Saccharomyces cerevisiae S288C: one gene and its partner. The protein of the gene in region 1 binds, or shares a complex with, the protein of each later gene. Each region holds a gene or a part of one and is shown on either strand. Other genes may lie near its edges. A codon is read from its position in the direction of its gene.

Evidence for each region.
Region 2: the proteins of COX5B (region 1) and COX1 are in contact, whole or in part, in a cryo-EM structure (PDB 6T0B), measured with the Saccharomyces cerevisiae proteins. Residues at the interface, in NP_012155.1 of Saccharomyces cerevisiae: Ile72 (codon at 1,332), Ser73 (codon at 1,329), Tyr74 (codon at 1,326), Gly75 (codon at 1,323), Trp77 (codon at 1,317), Pro79 (codon at 1,311), Arg80 (codon at 1,308), Arg81 (codon at 1,305), Val83 (codon at 1,299), His84 (codon at 1,296), Asp88 (codon at 1,284), Phe91 (codon at 1,275), Ile92 (codon at 1,272), Gly95 (codon at 1,263), Val96 (codon at 1,260), Gly99 (codon at 1,251), Leu100 (codon at 1,248), Ile102 (codon at 1,242), Ser103 (codon at 1,239), Phe104 (codon at 1,236), Leu106 (codon at 1,230), Phe107 (codon at 1,227), Val110 (codon at 1,218), Arg111 (codon at 1,215), Leu113 (codon at 1,209), Ala114 (codon at 1,206), Asn115 (codon at 1,203), Pro119 (codon at 1,191), Thr121 (codon at 1,185), Met122 (codon at 1,182); in NP_009305.1 of Saccharomyces cerevisiae: Leu38 (codon at 3,650), Ala41 (codon at 3,641), Ala42 (codon at 3,638), Pro43 (codon at 3,635), Gly44 (codon at 3,632), Ser45 (codon at 3,629), Gln46 (codon at 3,626), Tyr47 (codon at 3,623), Arg333, Leu334, Ala335, Glu407, Lys408, Gln411, Ile412, Trp415, Leu416, Ile419, Asp445, Ala446, Ala448, Gly449, Tyr452, Ser455, Ile456, Phe459, Ile460, Leu463, Asn486, Val489.

The regions. Positions count from the first base shown.
Region 1 is NC_001141.2:152,407-156,854, reverse strand, and holds COX5B (cytochrome c oxidase subunit Vb), read right to left. Parts: upstream 1,634-4,448; coding exon 1,633-1,633; intron 1,545-1,632; coding exon 1,090-1,544; downstream 1-1,089. Other genes in the region: HPM1 (protein-histidine N-methyltransferase), read right to left, coding at 1-810; HOS4 (Hos4p), read right to left, coding at 2,009-4,448. UniProt on the Saccharomyces cerevisiae protein: Component of the cytochrome c oxidase, the last enzyme in the mitochondrial electron transport chain which drives oxidative phosphorylation.
Region 2 is NC_001224.1:12,011-17,578, reverse strand, and holds the start of COX1 (cytochrome c oxidase subunit 1), read right to left. Parts: upstream 3,762-5,568; coding exon 3,593-3,761; coding exon of another isoform or gene 1,257-3,592; intron 1,145-1,256; coding exon 1,109-1,144; coding exon of another isoform or gene 1-1,108. Other genes in the region: intron-encoded reverse transcriptase aI1, read right to left, coding at 1,257-3,761; intron-encoded DNA endonuclease aI3, read right to left, coding at 1,109-1,144, 3,593-3,761; intron-encoded DNA endonuclease aI4, read right to left, coding at 1,109-1,144, 3,593-3,761; AI5_ALPHA (intron-encoded DNA endonuclease aI5 alpha), read right to left, coding at 1,109-1,144, 3,593-3,761; intron-encoded reverse transcriptase aI2, read right to left, coding at 1-1,144, 3,593-3,761. UniProt on the Saccharomyces cerevisiae protein: Component of the cytochrome c oxidase, the last enzyme in the mitochondrial electron transport chain which drives oxidative phosphorylation.

The sequences.
Region 1 (4,448 bases):
TTTACGTCCCCACGATCCTGATATAAGAGTGACGCTGATATTCCTGCTTTGTACATCGTCGTAAAAGGCAGCTAACAGCTTTGAGGTAAGAAGCAGTTCCTCATTATTTATTGGAATATCTTCACATTCGTCTTTCTGTAAGGCGTACCATTGTTCCTTTGTCAAAACCGTTTTAGCCCATGTTATAACCAAATTCGGTATGGTAACTAATCTTAATACACTGGCATTATAGTCAGTCAAAACAAACTTTAAACCTTTACTTCTATCATTCCGTAGAAGAGCAGATCTGAAAAGAAACTCTGAGGGTAGTGCCGTACCACAGCCTATTTCGACAACCGCGTCGATATCGTTGCTTATTCTATCAACGTTCTCTGACAACAAATCAACTAAATCATAAGAGCACTCCCATGATTTCAACCCACCTTCATAGATGTTCTTTCTCAAATCTTCAGAAGTATCACCTAGTAAAATGTCCAGTTCCGTGGAGTTGTTGTTGGATTGGGCATCTGTCTCTAACATTAGCTGATGTTTGACATCGAATAGTTCCCTCTTGATCAATGGTTTTCTATATATCGGAGATTGGAACTCTTCAAATGTCAATCTAACATCCTTAAGACTTTCCAATATTGTTCCTAGGTCTTCCACATTTGGCTGCACAACTCCAGCTTGCGACAAGAAATCCGAATCTAATGGATTGATGTAAGCAGTGGTATTTTCGTTTTCTTTGCTGCTTTCAACGAATGTTTCAGGTTGAGCAACAAGCTCATCATCATCAAAGTCATTGGAAGTAAAGCCGAAGGAAAATGACATATTTTAGCTACACAACACTTCGGTTCTGATTGTCCTTTTCCTCCCCATAGAATCGATGACTTGAACATTTTTATTTTTTAGATTGGACTTTTTTTTTTTCCAATTTTCCATGATTATTTTTTTTCTTCTTCGAAGTAACAATGAATGATATTTGCAGAAGAAGGTACAAGGAACTAAGTAATCAACCTACTGAACTAAGACCAAATGCGTATATATGAAAACAATCTACTTATACCCCAAACACGGAATATACGAAACAATTTTATTTTCCTCGTCTACTTATTTAGATTGAACTTGAGAATAACCTCCCCAAGGATTGGCATTTTTTGACTTCAGATACTCGTCTGATTTCAACTGCCATTCCCTGTTCATAGTCTTTGGAGTTTCAGGATTGGCTAATAGTCTCACTAAACCAAAGAGCCCAAATGAGATTCCTAACCCTAAAAATACTCCTTTAGTTATAAATGCAACATCGCCTTTTCCGTGTACAGGTCTTCTAGGTCCCCACTCGCCGTAGGATATGTACCAAGCTGCTTTGATTTCCTCGTTATTGAGAGTTTTCCATGGAAGCTTTTGACGTTCTGTCAAATTATCTGCAATCTCTTTCTGTTCTAAGTTTGGCATATTTTCCCATCTTTCGGGCAGATCTGTCAATGTTGCCTTCGAAAGGGCCTTTGTTTGAACAAATCTTGTCCCAGTTAGCCGTGCCCCTTTAGTAAGAGAAGTACGCAACACTGCAAAACTTGTGCTTGTACACCTCGAATGTTAGTAAATGGATATCTTTTAAAACTCAAAACAAAAATCAGTGTTTGTTATACATGCTCTTTACAATGAATATGTGGCGTTATTCCATTGTGAAAGTTTCCTGCAAAGAATATTAAATTGAAATAATTGGTCTATTGTTTAATGCAACAGTCATTTATAAAATATAAATCAAATGAAATTCGTCTTTTTTCGTCTTTTGCACGGTATTTTCTGAACCCCTCAGTAATTTTAAGGGGTCCATGACATTTTTTCGAGTACTCGTTCGTTGCCTTATCGAACAATACAAAATCAAAAAAAGAAATTGGTGAGTGTCATGCCGATATAATAATGACAAAACAGTACGATTATATGGAATTATGTTAACATGAATAGTATTTAATGAATCGAAAATGCAACTATGTATGAGCATATGCCAACGGACCGATGAATTGTTTTACCAAAATGGTTCTTTGGATGTCTGCTGGAGGACGGAGGATATGCTCATACGGTGTTGAAATTTAACCGGTAACTCTCGAGGTATTTTTAGAGAACGCTGTTTGCGCGTCGGCTGCTGCGCTTTGTTCAGCTTATCGTTTCTCCATCGTGCAAATTCGTTTATTGATATTTGAATCATATTTCCTTCAATTTCTTTTCTTTTTGCGTGGTTTTCAATAACAACGTTATCCCATTTAATCCACGCCATGGGCAAACTAACAAATTTTTTGTACTCCAAAAGCTCATACCCAATCTTTGTGTCCAAATCAACCCCATCAAAGTTTACAACATATCTTTTATTTTCCATGTTGTTCTTTTTATCATCATAACTACCTCCATACAGGAAAATGAATTTCAACATATTCCACAATGGAGTCAGGTGCGAGGGATCGACGGGAATCTTCTCAGAAGTTGGTTGGTTGTCCTTTGAGAGCAAGTCGATATCCTTCAACAATATCATTACTTGCAAGTCGAGCACAAATTTATCGTTTTTTTCGTCTACAAAATAATATAGCGGCAAAAATCTTTTGTAATCAAGTTTATCGTTGAAGTTAATAATCTTCAGTCCTAACGGATATAAGTCCCTTACTGCCCTTCTATAAGAGATTTCTTCCATTTCTTTTTCCCTTTCCATTTTTCTTGCTTTCTCTAAAGTAGCTTTTTCCAATCTTTCCATTTCTAAGACTTTCTGCTTCTCCTGTTCTTCGATCCTTTTTTTCTCATCTTCGGCCAGCTTTTGTAGTAGTTCCTGTTCTTTTTTTCTTTTCTTTTCTAATCTTTTCTTTCTGTATTCTTCCTCTTCCTTGAGTCTTGCTTCTCTTTCAGCAGCCGTTTCTTCATGTATTTTACTTATCTCTACAGATTTTGCCTTCTTTGGAGAATGAGGTTCCATAGAGAGTGGTGAGATACTTTTTAATTTTTCTTCATCTTGCAAGGCATTTGTTTTACGTTTTTTCCAGTCCAATGAGTATTGAGTACCAACATTTTCATTGTCATCCAATCTCTTGCGCGAATCCGAAGTTGTAGATTCCTTGACATCACGATCGTTATTAAAGTCATCGTCTGCCAGATTGAGCATCCTCGTATCGTCCTCTTCGTCTTCAATTCTAGGAGTGGCACTTCTTCGGCTTGCTAATATGGGTGATTGCGTTTTCTCTCTCTTTTTTTCATGTTTATATGTTTCATTATTATTATCATCATCATCATCATCATCATTATTATCTTCAGAGTGCTTCTTCAAATAGTTATTTATAGCATTTTCAATCAATTGAATTTCTTCACTGTTTGTTATTCCCATTATGCTGTTTTTGGCATAGTACAAAGCGGTACGACCCTTTTTATCTCTTTTGGTTGGATCTGCACCTGCCTCTAATAGCAGTTTAACAGTTCCAAGATGGCCACGACCTACAGCTACCATTAAAGCGGATGTTTTATTATCCCTTGAAGTTTGATTTACGGGAAATCCGAATGCCAAAAAGATACTTGTAATATCTTCATGGCCACACTTAACGCTTTCGAAAAATGACCTTAAGTCTATCTTACCACCATTTTCTACATACGTACCAACGTATGGTAAATGTCCCTCCTTCGAAGCTTTAAACAGTTTTTCTTTTCCCGCTCTAGAAGTAACATCTGTCCAATAGAATTCCTCTTCCGGAGCTTTCTCATCAATATTGGAAGCCATTGAAGGTGAGTCAGCGGCCTTTTCGTTTTTGGCTTTTGTGGTATTATCAAAAGGTGGCTGATCTATTGTGTGAGCATTATTGCCATTTTTAGATTTGTCATTATGAATTCCTGCTCTGTTAGTCCATTTTTTAGCGGCTATACTCAACCTTTTTTTTATTTCACGCAAAATCTTTTGGTCTTCTTCATCATCAAATTCAGATTCATCATCGACAGATTCAAACGCAGTTAACCCTTTAGCGTTACGTATAGTTGGGTCCGCACCGTTTTTAAGAAGATACTTGACAACATCCAAGTGTCCATTGGCGGAAGCATCGATCAAGGGAGTATCGCCGAACATTTCAATAGACTTGATATTTACATCTGCACCATTTTCTATCAACAGTTCCACAATCTCAATATGACCTTGCAACGCCGCTTCATGCAATGCTGTATTACCAGCATTGTCTTGGTCATTAATATCGTAACCTCCTTCTTCAATCATCTTTTTGACTACATCATATTTGCCCTTGTCACAGGCAATCTGTAGTCTTGTTCTACCACCAGAATCCCTATATATGCCCTTCTTCTGTTTGGGGCGCTTGGAAACAGCTATATGAGAACTCTTGTTACTATCATTACTCCTGGAGACAGAACCCCTTTTTGGATTTTGTGCTGGTGAAGAATTCATATTTGAAAGGTTGTTGTTTGTCTCTTTCACAGGTGAAGAACCGCCT
Region 2 (5,568 bases), on another chromosome or scaffold:
CTCTCATTTAATACATTAATTAACATATTATGTGGAATTGTATCAAAGCATTTATTTAAATCTACTTTAATAAATCAATTACAGTATTGCATATAATTTTTACATTGAATAATAGCTGTTAAACAAGATAAGTTAGGTCTAAATCCATGAGAATAATAAGAGAAACTATTATTATAGATAATTTCTAATATTATTCTCATACTTTCTTGTACAATTTTTTCTCTAGGATTTCCAACACTTAAAGGTCTAAATCCTCCAGATGTTTTAGGAATTTCAACTCTTCTAACCGGAGAAAATTTAAACATATTAGTGTTAATATCTTTAGATAATTTATTTAAATATGAAATATTAATCCCATCTAAGGTAATATTATTAGAACCTTTAGATATATTACCTTTCTTACTTTTAATTTTATTATAAGCAATTAATAACATTCTAATATCTGACATTAATTTTAAAATTCTAGTATTAATGGTTTCAAGTTTATTATGATTATTTTCTATTAATTTATTTAACTCGGAAAAATCCGTAGTATTAATCTTTGTTAAATACGCTAAACTGTCTTCCTTCCTTGCATTTAATTTAGATAAAGTACTAAAGTATCTCACTTTATTTAAATTAAATTTGGGTACTATGAAGACTCCGTTATCCCCAGGGTTTCCCCTTTCGGACAATCCCGTATTTCTTAATTTTCCATTTGAACTCGTACAGCCCTCCAAATGTCAACTTTTACTTAAAGCTAATGATTCATTTTTGGTTAACTCGTGTACCTCTTCTTCCAATACATAAGCATGAATCACAATCCCCAAGTGGGAAGGAGTTAATGAGAACCCTAAACATTCTTTACAGGAATTCGTTAACCTAGCCATCGGACAGTTCTTACCTTGCGCTGGCTGTTTTACTCCAGCGCTTTTATGGCATGCTATTGTCCCCGTTGAGTTGGCCCCAACTGGGTAAGCCATATGGTTTACGTATCTAAATACTATGTATGTTACTACTAATAATCAGAACCAAAATGATACGGTAAAGTTTTCATTAATTGAATAAACAGAGATATGTTTATCAATTAACACTTCAATACAGTGATAAATTAAGCGAAACGGCGCACAGAAAATCATTAATACAGCATGACCAACTACTAAAAATGAAATAGCAAATTAACCTATGTTGCCACGTGTTAAAGAGCCTTTCCCAAACCGTACGTGATAGTTTCCCATCATACGGCTTTCCATATTGAGTATCATTAATAATAGATTTTATATACCAGGTCCTATATTTTTAAATTTATTTTTATGTGTTTTAATATGACATTGTTTACATAATGGAATTTGTTTTCTGTTTATGGTAATTATTCTACCTAGAATATAATCTTTAAGTGCTTTTAATATACCTCTATGTAATTGTTTAACATGATGTATTTCTACATCAATAGTTGAATTACAAATACTACAAGGTTTATTAAAATTAGCTTTAGCTGTAGGTAATATATATTTAATTGAATCGATATATTCAAAAGGATCAGTTACTTTAGCTTCTGATATATATATAAATATACCATGATTTTCAATTTTTTTGATATTATCAAAAGTATTTCTTGGAAAATTGGCAATTAATTTATCATTTTCAATAATATTTAAATTATAACCAAATTTTTTAATAGTTTTACTTATTGTTTTTAATCTATATTTACTAGCTAAAGTTAATACACATGAATAATATAATACGTAATAGATTCTTTCTCTTAATCTTTTATAATTAGTAGCTAATTTATAATAATTTAAGATACCTCTACCTAACGCTTTATAATTATTAATAATTGTTCTAGGTTCTTCATATAGTCATCTACCTACTCTTGTAGGCACTCCTATTCTACCATTTTTATTATGCTTACAATATCCATTAGTAGCTAATTTATTGATAATATCTCTAATTGGTGCATTAATAATAGGTCTAGTTGTATTTCTACTTCTAATAAGTTTACCTCTAATTAGTTTAGTAACTGTAGGTATTCTTTTTAAAGGTGTAATTGAAATATTATAACCTAAAAATCTTGCTGGTAGTTCAGTTGCACAAGTAATTAAAGTTTTTTCTTCATTTATAGTTAAACCTAATGAATTTAAAAAATTGTTTAAATCTCTTTTGATTATTTTACAATCATTTTTTGAACCTAATACCCCAATTAAAATATCATCTGCATATCTAACGTATTTTATTCTCTTGAAATTAGGATCATTATAAATAAATAGTGGGCCTTTAGCTCTTTCTTTATGTAATTTTAATCTTGTCGAAAATATTTTAGCTTTTGCAATTATTCTTGATAATTTTTTATATGTAGGATGTTGTTTTTTAACTTTACCTTTATTATATAAATTAATATAATCTTCTAATCAATTATCTACCAATGTTATTACAATATTACATAAGATAGGACTAATTAATGATCCTTGAGGTAAACCTAATATAGGTTTATGATAAGTTCCTTTCTCATCAATATAACCAGCTCTTAATAATTTATATACTAAATCAATAAAACCTTTATCTGAAATATATCTTTTTAATTCTTTAATAATTAAATCATGAGAAATTGTATCAAAACATTTTTTTAAGTCTACTTCAATAAATCAATTACTTCCACCAAATATATTTCTAACTTCTCAAATTGCTGTTTGACAACTTATATTCTTTCTAAAACCATGTGAATGTGTTGATATCTTTTTATCAAAAATTGTATCTAAAATTATTCTTATAACTTCTTGTACAATTTTATCTCTTGGATTACCTACACTTAAAGGTCTTATACCACCTTTAGGTTTAGGAATATTAACTATTCTCATGGGTTTAAATTTGAATTTACCTGTTCCTAATTCATTTGATAATTTATTTAAATATATTATATTTATACCATCTAATGTTTCTAATGTTGTACCTGGAGTTATATTACCAGGTTTACTCTTAATTCTATTATATGCTAATATTAATATATCTACGTTTTTTATAATACTTAATAAATTATTATTTATATTTTCCTCATTTATATTATCTATTACTAATTTCTCAAATTCTAACAAGTCCGAAGTACTTGTATCTTTTGATAACTCAATATTGGTATCCTTCCCTATTTTTAAATTATTATTTACTGAATAGTATCTAACTTGATTTAAAAATCTCATTTTTATTTGAGTATTCGGTACTACTATACCTCTGTCAACTCCAGAGTTTCCTCTTTCAGTTGATCCCTCACTTTTCGTATTTCCTTTTGTGTTATTTAGGTCCTTCATCTTTTTCACACTGCCTGTGCTATCTAAAACAATGAATCATAATCTGATTACCTCAACGTAAAATAATCAAACTTGTTTTACTATATCCAAATGATAAGAGGAAATTGTAATCCTGATAAAGACTTGTAAGAAGTTCGTTAACCTAACCATGTAACACTTAACTCCACCTACACTAATCATAGGTGTTTTATGACATGCTATTGTCCCCGTAAAGTTAGCCCCTACTGAGTTAGTCATATGTTTTAAGTATCTATTGATGATTCATAATACTAATGCTAGACGCATCAACGAAATATACGCACTGAGAGGCGCACCATTAAATAATTGTGAATTACCATGTAAATATTGTGAACCAGGTGCAGCTAATTCTAATCTAATGATTAAAGACATTGCTGTTCCTGCCATACCACTAAAAATAGCTAACATAAAATATAATACTGCAATATCTTTTGCATTTGTTGAATATAATCATCTTTGTACCATTTTTACTTTTTTTTTATATATTAATTTTAATAATATTATTATTATTATATTCATTAAAAAAAAAAATTAATTAAATTTAATTTAATTTAATTTAAATAATTATTGTTATATCTTAAAGGATAATAATATATTATTCTATTTATAAATATAACAATAGTTGAATTTATAATATTAATTATTAATGAATACTATATAATATTTTAGTTATAACTTTAAACAATTCTTTTATATCTTTATAAATAAATATTATTATATTATAAAGTAATAGTATAATTAATTTTTATATATATATTATTTATATAAATGTATCATAATCTATAATATAATATATATATATATATTAAAATCATTTAAATTATATAACATATATATATATTTAATGATATTAATACTCTCTTTCATAATCTATATTATTAATATTATTTATATAAAATATTAATAATATTATTATTATATCTATTACTTATATCAATACTTATTATTTAATATTATATATTACTTTTTACTCATTACAAAATACCAACTAAACCGAACTAATATAAATATATTATTTAATATATTGATTTTTTTATTATTTATTACTTAATAATAAAATAAATTATATAAAAATATTATTATCTATATATTATATATATATTTATATATATATATATTTTTTATATTATATTATATTATATATATATTATTTACATTCTTTATTATATTTATATATATTATTATTCTTTATTATAAATAAGAAATTATTTAATTTATATTTTTATGATAATATTTAAAGATTTATTAATTAAATTATTCATAATATATTAAATAATATTAATCTTATATATATAAATAATTAATATTGATTATTATTATTATTATTATATATATAAATAAATATTGATAAAAATAATATTTAATATAGAGTATTATATTTTATATAATTAATATATATATATATATATATTGTTATATATATTAAAAAAGTAATGTAGTTATATTTTTAGTATTAAATATATAAGTCCCGGTTTCTTACGAAACCGGGACCTCGGAGACGTAATAGGGGGAGGGGGTGGGTGATAAGAACCAAACTATTCAATAAATATAGAGCACACATTAGTTAAATGTATTAATATAATCAATAAATATATTATAATAATATAATATATTATATAATATAAATAAAGGTATTAACGAAATAATAAATTGTATAATATAAATTATAAATAAATAATTAAAATAAATTTAATAAAATAATAAATAAAAACAAGAAGATATCCGGGTCCCATGATAAATTATTATTGAAAATAATAATTGGGACCCCACCACTATAATAAAATATTAATGAATATAATTATAATATATATAAAAATATATATAATAATATTTATATATAATATATATATATATATATAGAAATATAAATTATTATATAAAAATATAATTCTCCTCCGGCGTCCGCCCCGCGGGGCGGGCCGGACTATTTATTATTATATTTTAATAATAAATAAATAAAAATAATAATAATAGTTCCGGGGCCCGGCCACGGGAGCCGGAACCCCGGAAGGAGAAATATAAAAGTATAAATTATATAAAAAGCATATTAATTAATTAATTCTTATAAGAATTACAATTAATTGATATTATATGCCAAATACCAATTAATTAATTAATTAAATTGAAATTAATATATATATAATTATATAAATAATAATATAATAAAAAATAAAATACTTATTATTATTATAAAAATAAGTTATAATATAAAAATATTAATTATTTATTTATTTATTTATTTTATAAAAAAAAATAAATATATATTTATAAT